3 separate regions of the Mus musculus genome follow, and all the other regions are reported to be linked to region 1. Evidence: microRNA targets listed by miRTarBase, many of them from high-throughput screens and not tested one by one. Region 1 holds a microRNA gene; each other region holds the end of a gene's coding sequence.

Region 1 (4,173 bases):
AACTGTGAATTATCTCTCTAGCCCCAAGTATAATATGGTGTTATTATCTCCCTAGGTTGGTTTTTTTCATTACCTGCACCGAGGTGATCGATCCCTTCTTGGTGGTGGTGATCCTTTCCTGCATTGTGCCCATGTCGGTGGCTAGGGTGGGCTGGTAGCCTACAGCAGAAGGGATTCTGCCCAATAAGGCAGACACCTAAAAGACAGAAGTAAAGAATAATGGTCTTAGGTGTCTACATCTTTCTTCTAATATGCCCAACTGGCTCAACAAACCAGGCCTCGAGGCTTCCCCCCTACCTCTGAGCCAGCCTGGGTAAAGCGGAAGATGTTGTCAATAAACAGCAGGACATCTTGGCCCTCCTGGTCTCTGAAGTATTCAGCAACGGTCAAACCAGTCAGAGCTACCCGGGCTCGAGCGCCAGGTGGTTCGTTCATCTGTCCATATACCAACGCTACCTGTAAAACATACACAAGTCAGAAAAGACAGCAGAGTAGTAAGGAAGCCACAGAGAAATCCAAGATTCCCAATCAGAGAGAAGAGAGGGGAAGAGAGAGAGAGACACCACTAATGGGATCTTCCACTGGATGCCAATGTTTCTGTTTGGAACCTTCATGAAATTGAGAACACTGGAAATAATTTCTAAACTAAAAGTAAGACTGAGATATGTGAGTGGCTTCCATTCTACACCTTTTAAATCAGCTTTCAAATTGGATTACTTACTCATCAAAAAGTCTAGAAATATCTCACACCAGAGAAGTGTACACTGGTATTCTGGAAAATGGTGGTGGGAAGACAACTATTTTGTTTACAGAACCCGGGGCTCATCACATCAAACATAACACATTAGTTTTCTGAATGGAGCTCACCTTGGAAGTGGCATCTTTTAGATTGATAACACCAGATTCAATCATTTCATGGTATAAATCATTGCCCTCACGGGTCCTCTCACCAACACCAGCAAATACAGAGTAACCACCATGGGCTTTGGCGACATTGTTGATTAGCTCCATGATCAGTACTGTCTTTCCAACGCCAGCACCTCCAAAGAGTCCTAGTTTAAGAAGAAATATTTCAGATCTCTGCATTCCCAAATTAAACAGCCTTCAAAAATGTTCAGTTCTGTCCATTTTCCCCTTCTCAGGAACGGCATCTGGCTTCAGCAAATTCAGAAGAACGAAAGTCAGAAGCTAATCATCACTGAAGGCTCAAGCACTCTCAAAAGAAAAAAGGGTCTCCATGCTTTACTGTATTTGGAAAACACGGACCAAAAACCAACGTACCGATTTTCCCACCCTTGGCGTATGGGGCCAGCAGATCCACAACCTTTATCCCAGTCACCAGAATCTCCTGCTCAACACTCATCTCTATGAACTCAGGAGCCTCAGCATGAATAGGAGCAAATCTGTAAGGTTCAGGGAGGAAAGGGTCAGAACCAGGCACCATGCTCAAAAGCCACTGGCCACCACAAACAGTCAAGTCTAATCTTGTTCAAGTTAAGCTGTCACAGAACATCATCTCTCTGCAATAAAAAATATTGTCTCGCCGGGCGTGGTGGCGCACGCCTTTGATCCCAGCACTTGGGAGGCAGAGGCGGGCAGATTTCTGAGTTCGAGGCCAGCCTGGTCTACAGAGTGAGCTCCAGGACAGCCAGGGCTATACAGAGAAACCCTGTCTCGAAAAACCAAAAAAAAAAAGTCTCAAGAACAAATAATCCTCTTTTTTGATATTTTCCTTTTACTGAACTTAATATAACAAAGTTTCTTTATATAACAATAAGAAAATAAAAACCTGTAAATTTTAGAGAATCCATAATGTAACACAGCTTTAAAAAAAGTAACAGGGGGTTCTATGTAGCAAGTTTTCAACAATCCAAACTTCTGTATCTTCATTTTCAATAACTGAATACAACAGAAATGGAAGTAGTACTGTAGGAAAATGTTGCTTTACTACCAGTTATTACCCCATGTGTACAACTGCAAGAAAAGGTTCCCATGTTCACAAATGCAGTGAGAGAAACTTACTGTTTGGTTTTGATAGGACCTCTCTCATCAATAGGTTCTCCAATGACATTCATGATTCTGCCCAAGGTCTCAGGACCAACAGGAATTTTGATTGGTGCCCCTGAATCCAGTACTTTCTGGCCTCTAACCAAGCCTTCAGTGCCATCCATAGCAATAGTTCTGACCGTGCTCTCCCCTGTCAATCAGCATTAACACGTTATAAGCACCAAAACCTAACAGTATGTAATGAAGGGTGATCAAAAGCAAACAGGCCTCCCCTCTCAGCACCTGAGTGTGGCTTCAGCAAACTCAGAAGAACGAAAGTCATTTGGTAAAGTCATCACAGAATGGAGATGGCACGATCTCGTGTTATTTAAGCCTAACAAGCTCTTTCCCACCTCTAAAACGTCCTACTTACCCAAATGCTGGGCCACCTCCAAAACCAGTCTGCTGTCCCTGCCTTGCACTTCCAGGGCATTTAGGATGGGTGGTAATCCCTCATCGAACTGGACGTCCACCACAGCGCCGATGACTGCCACGATTCGCCCGGTGGCAGTGCCTGCCTTCGGGGCCGCAGACGCCTGCGCCGCATAGTCTCTGGCTAGCAGACAAAAAGGTATTGGAAGGCGTTGGTGTTAGGACAGCTTAAGGTCACCCGAATCCCAGATTTATCCCCCGAGGGAAGGTTAGCTGAGCCCAGACTAAGTCTCCTGCAAGATAGGAGGAGGCATGGAGAAGGGCACGCTGCAATCGGGAACCCACCCGCACTGTTTTCCCGACCTCGTGCACAGAACCGCCATTATTCTCGAGTTTGGTATCCCCCTCAAAACCTCAAGGTCGAGGCAGCTGCCGGCCACTCTAGCCTCACAAAATGGGACGCTGCTGGTTATATCAACGCTCCCACGGGCGACTGTCCTTGCACTCCTCGGCTGGACAGTAGTCCGCTGCCCGGGAATCCTTATGGAGAACGGATCCGATAGGCCCAAGCTCAAGGTCACGGGGAGAAGAACCGAACTAGCTCCTCCAGGAAGGCGCTTACCAGGATGAACCCCGGCGGGAGCAGCTCGCAGTAGAAGCTGCGCCTGTGGCAGAGCCGCCGAAGGGCTGAGTCCCCGCAAGGCCCCGGAGGCCGAGGCCGAGGCCACACGCCCCACAAGACTCAACATGGCGGAATCCGGGTGGAGACTGAGCGCCGAAGCGGTCCTCTCCGCCGGTCCTGCAGCTGGGGCGGGGCAACCTCCGCCGTAGGCACAGTAATTGGGTGATTTTGCTGTTCGTCATCACCACTAACGCTTCTATAGGGTAAAAAAACTCGGAGCTTATCAGCTATTGGTCTAAACTGGTGCCAATCTGAAAATTCTCTTTTTTAATTGGAGGAGCCGCCCTCTAAGCCTCGAAACCTAATTGGCCCATGGGAACGTCAGTAGGAGAGGTTTTTGGCGGAACTACGTTGAAATAAAGGGGCGGGGTTCCGTTGAACCTGTGCACTAGGCCGTCTTTGACTGTCCTTGGACCTTGAGTTAGGTGACAGCCGCTAAGGTTGAGTGGCGGCGTCCTGAAAGTCAGGAACCTTCTGTGGCTCCAAAACGTGGGGTTTCCTCGACAGTAGTGAGGGTGGAAGTTTCCAGGCGGCCCAGCAGGTCCGAAACCTGGAGGCTCTTTATCATATAAATCCGTGCAACGAAAGAAACTAAAGCGACCCATCCTTCGACAGACGTTCTGCATCGAGGAGACAAGGTTATTTATTTATAACACTCGAGGGGTAATTTAGAGTCACCTACTTATGTAAAGAATTGCCCTAAGCAGACGTACTGACAGAACCCTGTAATTCCAGAACTTGACAGGTGAAGGCTCAAGATTCCAGGAGCCAACTGAAGCCCCTTGAGACCCTGTCTCAAACACAAAATGAAAGGTCAGAAGTAATAGACCTTTGCTGTGATATGTGTGTGCAGAAATCCGTAAAGTAAAGTAGAAAGGAAGAATACGCTAAGCGAGCCTTTGCCTGAAACCACATTTCTTCGGTTTGGTTGTAGATAAGGCAAAAAAAAAAAAAAAAAAAAAAAAAACGAAATCCGACCCTATAGGGAGATGATGCCAGGTCTCAAAGGACTTTTGAATGAAAGTGGAGGCTGGCCAGAAGTGTGTGTTGCTCTAGGATGGAAAGTCACAGAA
Region 2 (4,173 bases), not on the chromosome of region 1:
AGAGAATGAATAAGCAGACAAATCATCCATGCAGCTGCTCAAAATGTGGGCCTGTCACTCATTCTCCATGATCACAGCAGCTGATGCTTCCTGAGGTATGACCTAATGCCCGTCACTGCTCCCAGCTGGCCGTGTGCACTAGCTCACAGCAAGCCTACCGTCACCCTGAGAGCAGACTTGACCGTGAGCAATAGTTCCCACTCTGTGATCTCTCGAGAATCGAAGTCACGAAGTGACCTTGCCAGGATTTGAACCCAGGTGGTGCAGATCTGCCCAGAGGCCAGGAGCAGGGGAAGGACCATTTGCTAGCCGGTCCCAAACAAGACTGGGAAGCCAGCTCTAGCGAGGCAGCCATCTTGTCTCGATTGCTAATCTGTAAAGATGCTAAAGCCCTCACTGCTTGTGCAAAGGGGTGAGGAGCTGCTGTGTTCTCTTATTGGCTTAGTTCATGCTTGGTGGAGGCAAAACTCTAAAATCACTACCCCATACATATATATATACATACATACATACATACATACATACATACATACATACATACATACACACATACACACACACATACACACATACACACACACACACACATACATACATACTACATACATGCACATATACATGTATGTACATGTACATGTACATATACATGTATGTACACAAATACTTCGAGTGGATGCAGCTCGTGAGATTTCTCAAATTCTATTTTCTGCAAATTTGATGGCACATACCTGTAACCCCAGGACCTTTGAGACTGAGGCTGGAGGACCACAAGTTTAAATCAACACTAGGCTCTAGAACGACATCTTCCCAAAGACAGAGAATAGGGTCAACCCATTCGTAGAGTGCTTGCCTCAATGCATGAAGGCTTGGCTTCCATCCCCAGCGCTAGATAAATCGGGCATGGTGGCACACCGCTGTAGTATCAGCACTCCAAAAATAGAGGCAAGAGAGTCACAGTCGTAACCTGCCTAGGCTAAAGACCTGGTCACACACACACACACACACACACACACACACACACACACACACACACACTGATGTTGGGGACGGGGAAGGTAAGATGGCAGGTAAGGGCATTTCCCACCAAGCCTGATAATCTTTCAATATCTTGTGCCCCCATGATGGAGAGAACCAACTCCCAAAAGTTTTCTGACCTCTACATGGACACAATGGCAAACATGTGGCTACATGCGGGTGCACATACACACATAAACCTGGTGTGGTGGCACAGGTTCCAGGTCTGGGGAGGTGGAAACTGGGAGTCCTGGTACTCAGTGACCAACTATCCTGGCCTACTTGCTAAGTTCTATCTAGGTCAATAAGAGACTTTGTCCCCGGCCGAGCGGTGGCAGTGCACACCTTTAATCCCAGCACTCAGGAGGCAGAGGCAGGTGGTTTTCTGAGTTCGAGGCCAGCCTGGTCTACAAAGTGAGTTCCAGAACAGCCAGAGCTATACAGAGAAACCCTGTCTCAAAAAAACAACAACAACCAAAAAAAAAAGAGAGAGAGAGAGAGAGAGAGAGAGAGAGAGACTTTGTCCCCAAATCAAGGTGAATGGCATCTGAGAAATGACACTCACAGTTGTCTTCTGGCCTGTGCATGTCGCTGTGCACCCCCAGGTGCATACGCACAAAATTTTTTTTTCATCCCTGAGATCTGGGTCCTCTCCCTGGCAAGACGTCCACATCCCACCAGAGGTTGATTTTCCTTAGGTCCCTATCTCTCTCAGCTGGCCTAGCCTCTCCAACCGCACTGCCCCTAGAAAATTGCTGGCCGTTGTACCGGTGCCACCGGCCAGCCGTCCTGCTGCCTTCAGGCCTTTGGTCTCCAGCTTCTCTTTTCCCATTTACCCTAAGTCGTTCTGACACCTAGCTCCGCAGAGCCTACGTTCCCATCTCCGGCTGCCATTCAGGGTGTGCCAGCAGCCTGTCAGTAGTCTCTCCACTGCATGTCTCCCCACTGTCTCCGTGAATTATCTTTCCACAAGCTAAGAAGCTCCCTAGAGAAAGACAGCTGCTGGCAAGACAGCTCTCAGACCCGAGGCACGGGGCTTCAGAGGTACAGCGCTGGGGACCTCTAGGAGCAAATTCATTGCTGGTGATGCCGGTGACTGCCACGTTGAAGTGACATCGGGAGACCTGTGAGCTGCTGCGGGTCAAGTTGACACCCACAGCCTAAATGGAGAGCACTCTGAAGAGAAAAGGAGCGAGTTCCACTGCAAGCTGCTGAATGAATGCTCATGCCAAACTTGGCATGGATGCTGGCCCAGATTGTCTGGGGTTGATTCTTGGTGGCATTTAACAAGATGGCCCTGGAGAGATGACTAAGTTCTCTGCACCAAGCAAAAAAAAAAAAAAGGACAGGATCCAAATGGCTGGGTAAGATGATCTATTCTGTGCGAACTTTCTAGCGCATGGGTACAACCTTATATTCATTTGTAATCGTTGATTTGGGGGTTCATCTGTTTCATCTTTTTCTGGGGCTTGGCCCAGGCTGGTGACAAGTACCAAGGCTCATGCTGGGTCACTGAGAGCAAAGAGATGGCGAGAGAGATCCCAAGGGATCAAGTGTCCAGATCTAGTTGGCTAGGTCCAGCCACGTGTAAGCAAGGCAGAAATGCAGACACAAACCCAAGAGAGGAGGTGACCCGCACTGCCCAGACCAAACCCAGCCTCCATCCCTGGGCCCACAACCAGCTTGGATTCAGAGAGCCAGTCCACGAGGAAGAGAATAGAGGCATTGAAGGTATTTATTCATGAAAACACTCGGGTCCAGGGGAGATGGCTACTAGTTACAAGCTCTAAGGCTCTCGTCGAACAGCCACGGGCCGGGGCACCCCCAGGGAGGTGAGCTGGCATCCCCTGGACACAAACAATGGTACCAGCATATCAGGGGACAGAGGGCCCTTCCTTGCCACCTGCCCTGCCCTAGGGTTAAAGTGCAGCTGGGAAGGAGGAGTGGCTAGACTAGGGAGCTAGAGAAAGCTGAGGTCAGTGGGGGCCCTATGCAGGGGCCTCCTGTCCACTATGGTCCCAGGTGATGGAGATGGACCATCACCTCTTTCAGAAAGACCGGCCCCAAAGACAGCAGGGCTGGCTGCAGCTACTTCCCTAAAGGGTCCAGAACACGGGGAGCAGAGAGCTAAGATCTCCAGAGGGAGAGATGGGAGGGATCTTCTTTCTTCTTCAGTGACACTCTGGCACTTGAGTCAGCAGGGTCCTGCCCCAGCCTGACTCCTAAGCCACTCCATTGAAGGGGTTACTTCCCTGGCACTGGGGAGTGAGGGAGGTCGTTAGGGAAACCTATGGGACTGGAGCTTCCGACCTCTGCAAGCGGTCTTCCCACATAGGTCCTTCAGCAAAGGACTTGATTCCCACTCTGGACCCATCACTGGGGATCCTGCCCCCATCAGTTGTGTGGGTCCTGGCCTGGGCCTGCCCTGTTTGAGGATCTCACTCATCCTCAGCAGCTCAGCCCATTTCCTCTCTATCCCGGGTGGGGGTGGGGGGCTCATCTCTCTAGAAGGCCGAAAGGAAAGACCACACTTCACCTTCCAAAAGAAAAGTCCTGCGGATGTCTGTCTGCTTCCTCCCCCATCTTGCATATATTAAATTGTGCAGCTTGGCTCCAGCCCCTCCCTTCAGATCTCCATGACAACCAGGCAGCATTCCAAGTCCATCCAGTGCCAAAGGGGGAGGGGGGCTTCTGCCTATCCCCTCCCTCTTCCCTGGAGGGTGGGACCGACATTCCACAGGGAACAAGAGGGGAGGAAGAGTTGGGGGCCCTCAGTCCTCAGCCCCCTCTTCCTCAACCTGAGGGGCTCCAGGAGGCTCTTCGGGCTCAGGGGTCTGGCCCCCAGGGTGGGGATGGGCATGGGAGTGTGGTCCAGGCTGGGAGCCCGGGCTGTCTTCACCCTGCACATAGACGTTCAGGCCCTCGTGACTGGGCTCCTTGCCGCAAGCCTGGCAGCTGCAGTGTACAATCTTCTCTACCAGCTTGTCCACCCTGGGCACCTCCTCGTGGCCAGGGCACTCCAAGGTCACCTGGGAGGAGCAGGAGGAAGAAAAGGGATGTTTCCTGAAGTCTGGGCAGTGGAGAGACCCCAGGAATAACAACACATCTTTGGGAACCAAAAATCCACCCTGCAACAGCCCAGTGTGCTCTGTGAACCCA
Region 3 (4,173 bases), not on the chromosome of region 1:
GCCTTTGACTCCACACCCTGCCCTATGACTGAAGTTTTTCCTTTTATTACTGTATGTGTTCAGGTGCCTGTGTGCTCCTGGGCATGTGTGGAGGTCAGAGGACAGTTCCCAGGGCTGGTCCTCCCCTTCACTGTGGGTTCCTAGGATCTCAGTCAGATTGTGAGGCCTGCTTGGCAAGTGCTGTACACCCAAGTTTGCTGCTGCTTTGTTTGTGTGAAGCTTAGTAACCACTAGAATGTGCAGTGTTCTTGTCCTTATGCCGGCAGCCACTAGTGACAAGAACATATGAGAATGTGCAGGAACTGAGACAGATTCTAGCAGGAATGGAAGGGTAACCAGTCACCCTTTGAGTTTTAAGATCGTCATGGGTGTAGCTTGGTGGTGGTGGGAGACACCCATAATCTACTTGAGAGGAAGAGACCGGTGGACCTCTGATGGGGAGGATTCTGGTGAGTGGGTGGTCCCGGGACTGCAATCTGCAACTCACTGGCATCTCATTTCTTGCCTATTCCCTTTTCCACAGGAAATTTCTAAAATACCATTTGCGAGGTAAAAACTGTGAACTCCTACTGGTTGTACCGGAAGAAGTGGAAGCCCATCAGAGCTGGAGGGCCGACGTGTGACAGTTGTTTGACCCTCTTTGTCTCAACCCTCCAGACCTCTTTGATGTGCTGTGGCCTCTACAGTCCACTTCCCCAAACATCTCATTGGGTTTTCCCTTCAGATTTGCCAGTGCAATAGGACAGATGTGTGGACTGTCACAGAGCCACCCAGCAGTCTGTGCCTGGGGGAAGAAGGTAGGAGCTCTGAACACTTAGGGCAAGCCATTGAACCCTTTGCTATTTCAGAGAGGGAGCCAAGAAGGGCGTCCTTTGAGGGGGCTGGGTTATTTCTCCCTTTCCATAAGGTCTTGATACAGGCTCTGCTGGTAGTGTCACTGATGCTTCAGGCTTACGGAAAGGCCGCCCCTTTTCTCTCCTGTGGCACCATGGGGTCTGAGGACACAGTACATGCAGAGCCAAGAAACTGTCAAGACTCCAGCAGTCACACTGCATGTCACCTGCAGTCCATTAGGCCTCTTCTTGGTCCCTTTAAACCCCAGCCAGCCTTGGGGTTTTATAAGAGGCTCTGCTATTCCAAAATAGGTGAATTGCACATCATTCTAGCAAGACAGTGGTGAAAGATATGCCTAATACCACGTGGGTAAAGCCAGAGTAGGGTAGTCACTGGTGGCTCTTCACTCTAATCGTGTCCCTATCATTTCACTACATTGACTGGGGAGGCTTTGGGACAAGACAATGAACAGGGAGAGTACTCATAGTTGGCCCATTTTTAGCAAAATCAAACACATCTACACTGACCTAAAATTCCATAGTTTGGGACAGAGTTGGGCGAGGAACTGCCATGAAGGTAAGCTTCAGGGTTTGAGCCCGGTAGGCACGTCCTGAGCTCCAGAGCTGTGGCAGCAATCTCAGGTTGGCTGTATGCATCAAGCTAGAGCCTCTGAGTTTGGCGTCTGTGTAGTTTCTTTGACAAACAGGGTTGGCTTGCCCCACTTCAACTAGTTCTAGATCATTTTTTTCTTGTAATTTTGGAAAATGAGGGGAAATAATTACCATACCCCCATACCAATGTGTTTGTGGTGGCCTTCAAGGCAGGTGACCTGGCCAGCCCTTACCGATCCATGGTCTCTGCAGGTCTGAGAGCTGCCCCACTGGCCTGCTTCTTCTCCCTTGGCAGCAGAGCTACCTGGGGCTTGCATGTTAATCCTGAGCAAGCTTGTTGGGGTGAAGGGGGGCTGTCTCCCCACTGTGACTGGAGTGCATGTTTACACCAGCACTTTTTCTGCACATGTATCTTCAATCCAACAAGGCCGTTTTTTATTCAAGTGGCAGAGGCCTCGAGTGGCTACTGCACTGCGCTCAGCCATGGTCATCTGCACCATTTTCTACACCAGATCTGCTTGGCACCATGGGGAACTCTGCCCCTGCACAATGACATTCCAATCACTACCAGCCAGAAGTTACAGCCGACCTTGCTGATTGTCACAAGCAGGACCTTGGGTCCATTGGCACTGTCGGTGATAGTAAGCCATTTCTTGGGAAGAGGAGACTCTTCCCTACAGATCTGCTTGGGCCTGTGCAAATGGCACTGCAAACGAGCCACACACACGTGGAGTCCATGAGCTAGTGGGATGTACAAAGACGCTTAAGCATTTCAGGGCTGGTTCTGTTCATATCCAATTCTGGTGCTTAGGAACAGGGACCCATGTTAATGCCCCAGGGCAAAGCCCCACTCCTGTGAAGGAAGGGGCAGCCTGACCCTGACGCCCAGCAAGGGGCAGCCCTAGGCTTTGTTTTTCTTGCTTTATTCCCTTTTCTGTTGGCCTTGTGCTGGGTTTGTTTACAAAGATGTATTTTGTTTAACCAAATATTAAAAATGAAAAGCTGAACACAAGTCTACTTGTCTGATTATGTAAAAACCTTTGGCAGGATTTTGTCATAGAAGGGATGTCACCACTCTGAGACACAGTAATCAGATTTCCTAGCTGAAAAACCAAGAGAAAGTACTCACTTTGTGAGATTAGTTCAGAGGTGCCCCGACCACACTGCTGTGCTTGCAGTGGGGAGGCTGTGTCAGGAGGATCCGTCTGGATTACAGTGGAGGAAAGGCTGGGTACACTGGAGCTACAGGCCTGGAGAGCATATGACGTCAGCAGGCTTTGTGCAGATTCCTTAACCCATAGGAATACCACAACCTCCTAAATCACGTGAAGAGCTTAGAAAACCTGCACAATAAATCAAAGCCAAGCTAGATGTGGTTCTACAGCACTGCCCCAATTCTCAGGAGGTGGTTTTTCAGGTAGGAGATTGGATTGAGGTTTCTCAGAGGCAGGCAATTCTGAGTTTCAAGTCAGTATGGTCAACATAGACCCCATTTCTAGAGAAAAACAAAAGGCCAGTATTGAGTAGAAAGACTGCAGGGCTCAAAAAGAAGAGCTACAGTTGGATCTATTATCAGAGACTCTGCTGTTACTTAAAATAAATAAGCCGGACAGTGACAACGCATGCCTTTAATCCCAGCACCTGGGAGGGAGAGGCAGGCAGATTTCTGAGTTCAAGGCCAGCCTGGTCTACAGAGAGTTCCAGGGCTATACAGAGAAACCCTGCCTTGAAAAACCAAAAATAATAATATGTCTTTACCAGGTGTGCATGCCCATGATCCCTCAGCACTCAGGAGGACCAAGTTGAAAGCTAACCTGGGCTCTGGAGAGATTCTACCCACCAATAAAAACAAGAATATGATAACAAGCTCTATTTGCAAACCTCCTCTTTCTCAAGACTATAAGGCAAACATACAGAAAACAGGTTATAAATACAGTATAGTCTGCATATCCAGAGTCTGGCCTGCACTTTCTGTGGAGGGAGTCTTGAATTTGAGGCAATAATCACTACTATGTTCAATAATAAATGTTCTCTTTCCTTTTTGGAAACTTCACTAAACAGGAATTGGTGACTCCTGCCCTTAATCCTAGCACCTGGAAAGCAGAGGTAGGCAGGTCTGAGTTCTCAGCCAGCTCTAGTCTACAAATTAAGTTCCAGGATAGCCAAGGCTACACAAAGAAACAGTCTTGAAAAAAAAAAAAAAATAAAACAAACAAAAAACATACCACACACACAAGGAAAAGAAGAGAAAGCTTTTTGAGGTCAGACTGGTCTATGAAATGAGGTTGAAACAGATGCTGGCTGAAGCCAGAGGAAATTTGGCAGGCAGTGTTCCTGGCTTTCTAAAACAACCTAGGTGTGAAATACTACCACAAACACAGCAATAACACTTTCAGTTCGAGTTCTTTTAATATTTAAATACAAAAAGTGAGCGCTGACTTCTTTTTTATACATAAGCAGGTCTAAGAGCCAAACTCTGCAGAGGAAATGAGTGCCTGCTCTGCCCAGTCCCCCTCTGGCTAAAGCTACAGCCAGCCTCCCTTCTCTCTGGGATTCCTGGTGACTTCTGTACTCAGGTATAATGAATTTTGTCAGTGCCACGGTGCTTACATGTCCTAGACATTTCCATTAAAAAAAAGTCCTTATGGTCAGGGGTACTTACTTCTTTCCCACAATGGGCATGTAAGAACTTCCTTAGGAGCAGTTTATTAGAGAGTAGGCTAACCTT

Evidence for each region. Region 1 holds the annotated microRNA mmu-miR-677-5p (UUCAGUGAUGAUUAGCUUCUGA, at 1,182-1,203, opposite strand). A microRNA usually pairs through its seed, bases 2 to 8, with sites in the 3' UTR of a target mRNA and lowers its output. Matches are read on the target gene's strand: a 7mer-m8 pairs with bases 2 to 8, a 7mer-A1 pairs with bases 2 to 7 and ends in A, and an 8mer does both.
Region 2: the mRNA of Nbl1 is a reported target of mmu-miR-677-5p. Seed matches in the 3' UTR shown: 8mer at 3,185-3,192.
Region 3: miRTarBase lists Josd1 as a target of mmu-miR-677-5p. Seed matches in the 3' UTR shown: 7mer-m8 at 935-941.

The regions. Positions count from the first base shown.
Region 1 is chr10:128,082,321-128,086,493 of GRCm38, reverse strand. It overlaps Mir677 (microRNA 677), which reads right to left and starts at 1,208; the gene lies at 1,131-1,208. It overlaps Atp5b (ATP synthase, H+ transporting mitochondrial F1 complex, beta subunit), which reads right to left and starts at 3,187. Exons shown (of 10, transcript NM_016774.3): 1 at 3,041-3,187; 2 at 2,420-2,602; 3 at 2,023-2,197; 4 at 1,282-1,403; 5 at 868-1,052; 6 at 298-456; 7 at 74-196. The coding sequence starts at 3,167. It overlaps Snord59a (a small nucleolar RNA gene), which reads right to left and starts at 2,352; the gene lies at 2,278-2,352.
Region 2 is chr4:139,079,560-139,083,732 of GRCm38, forward strand. It overlaps Nbl1 (NBL1, DAN family BMP antagonist), which reads right to left. Exons shown (of 4, transcript NM_008675.2): 4 at 2,733-4,043. The coding sequence ends at 3,786. Among named protein-coding and RNA genes, the nearest start is that of Htr6, 6.1 kb to the left of the region's middle.
Region 3 is chr15:79,672,530-79,676,702 of GRCm38, reverse strand. It overlaps Josd1 (Josephin domain containing 1), which reads left to right. Exons shown (of 4, transcript NM_028792.3): 4 at 524-2,453. The coding sequence ends at 623. It overlaps Tomm22 (translocase of outer mitochondrial membrane 22), which reads right to left. Exons shown (of 4, transcript NM_172609.3): 4 at 3,841-4,173. Among named protein-coding and RNA genes, the nearest start is that of Tomm22, 3.7 kb to the right of the region's middle.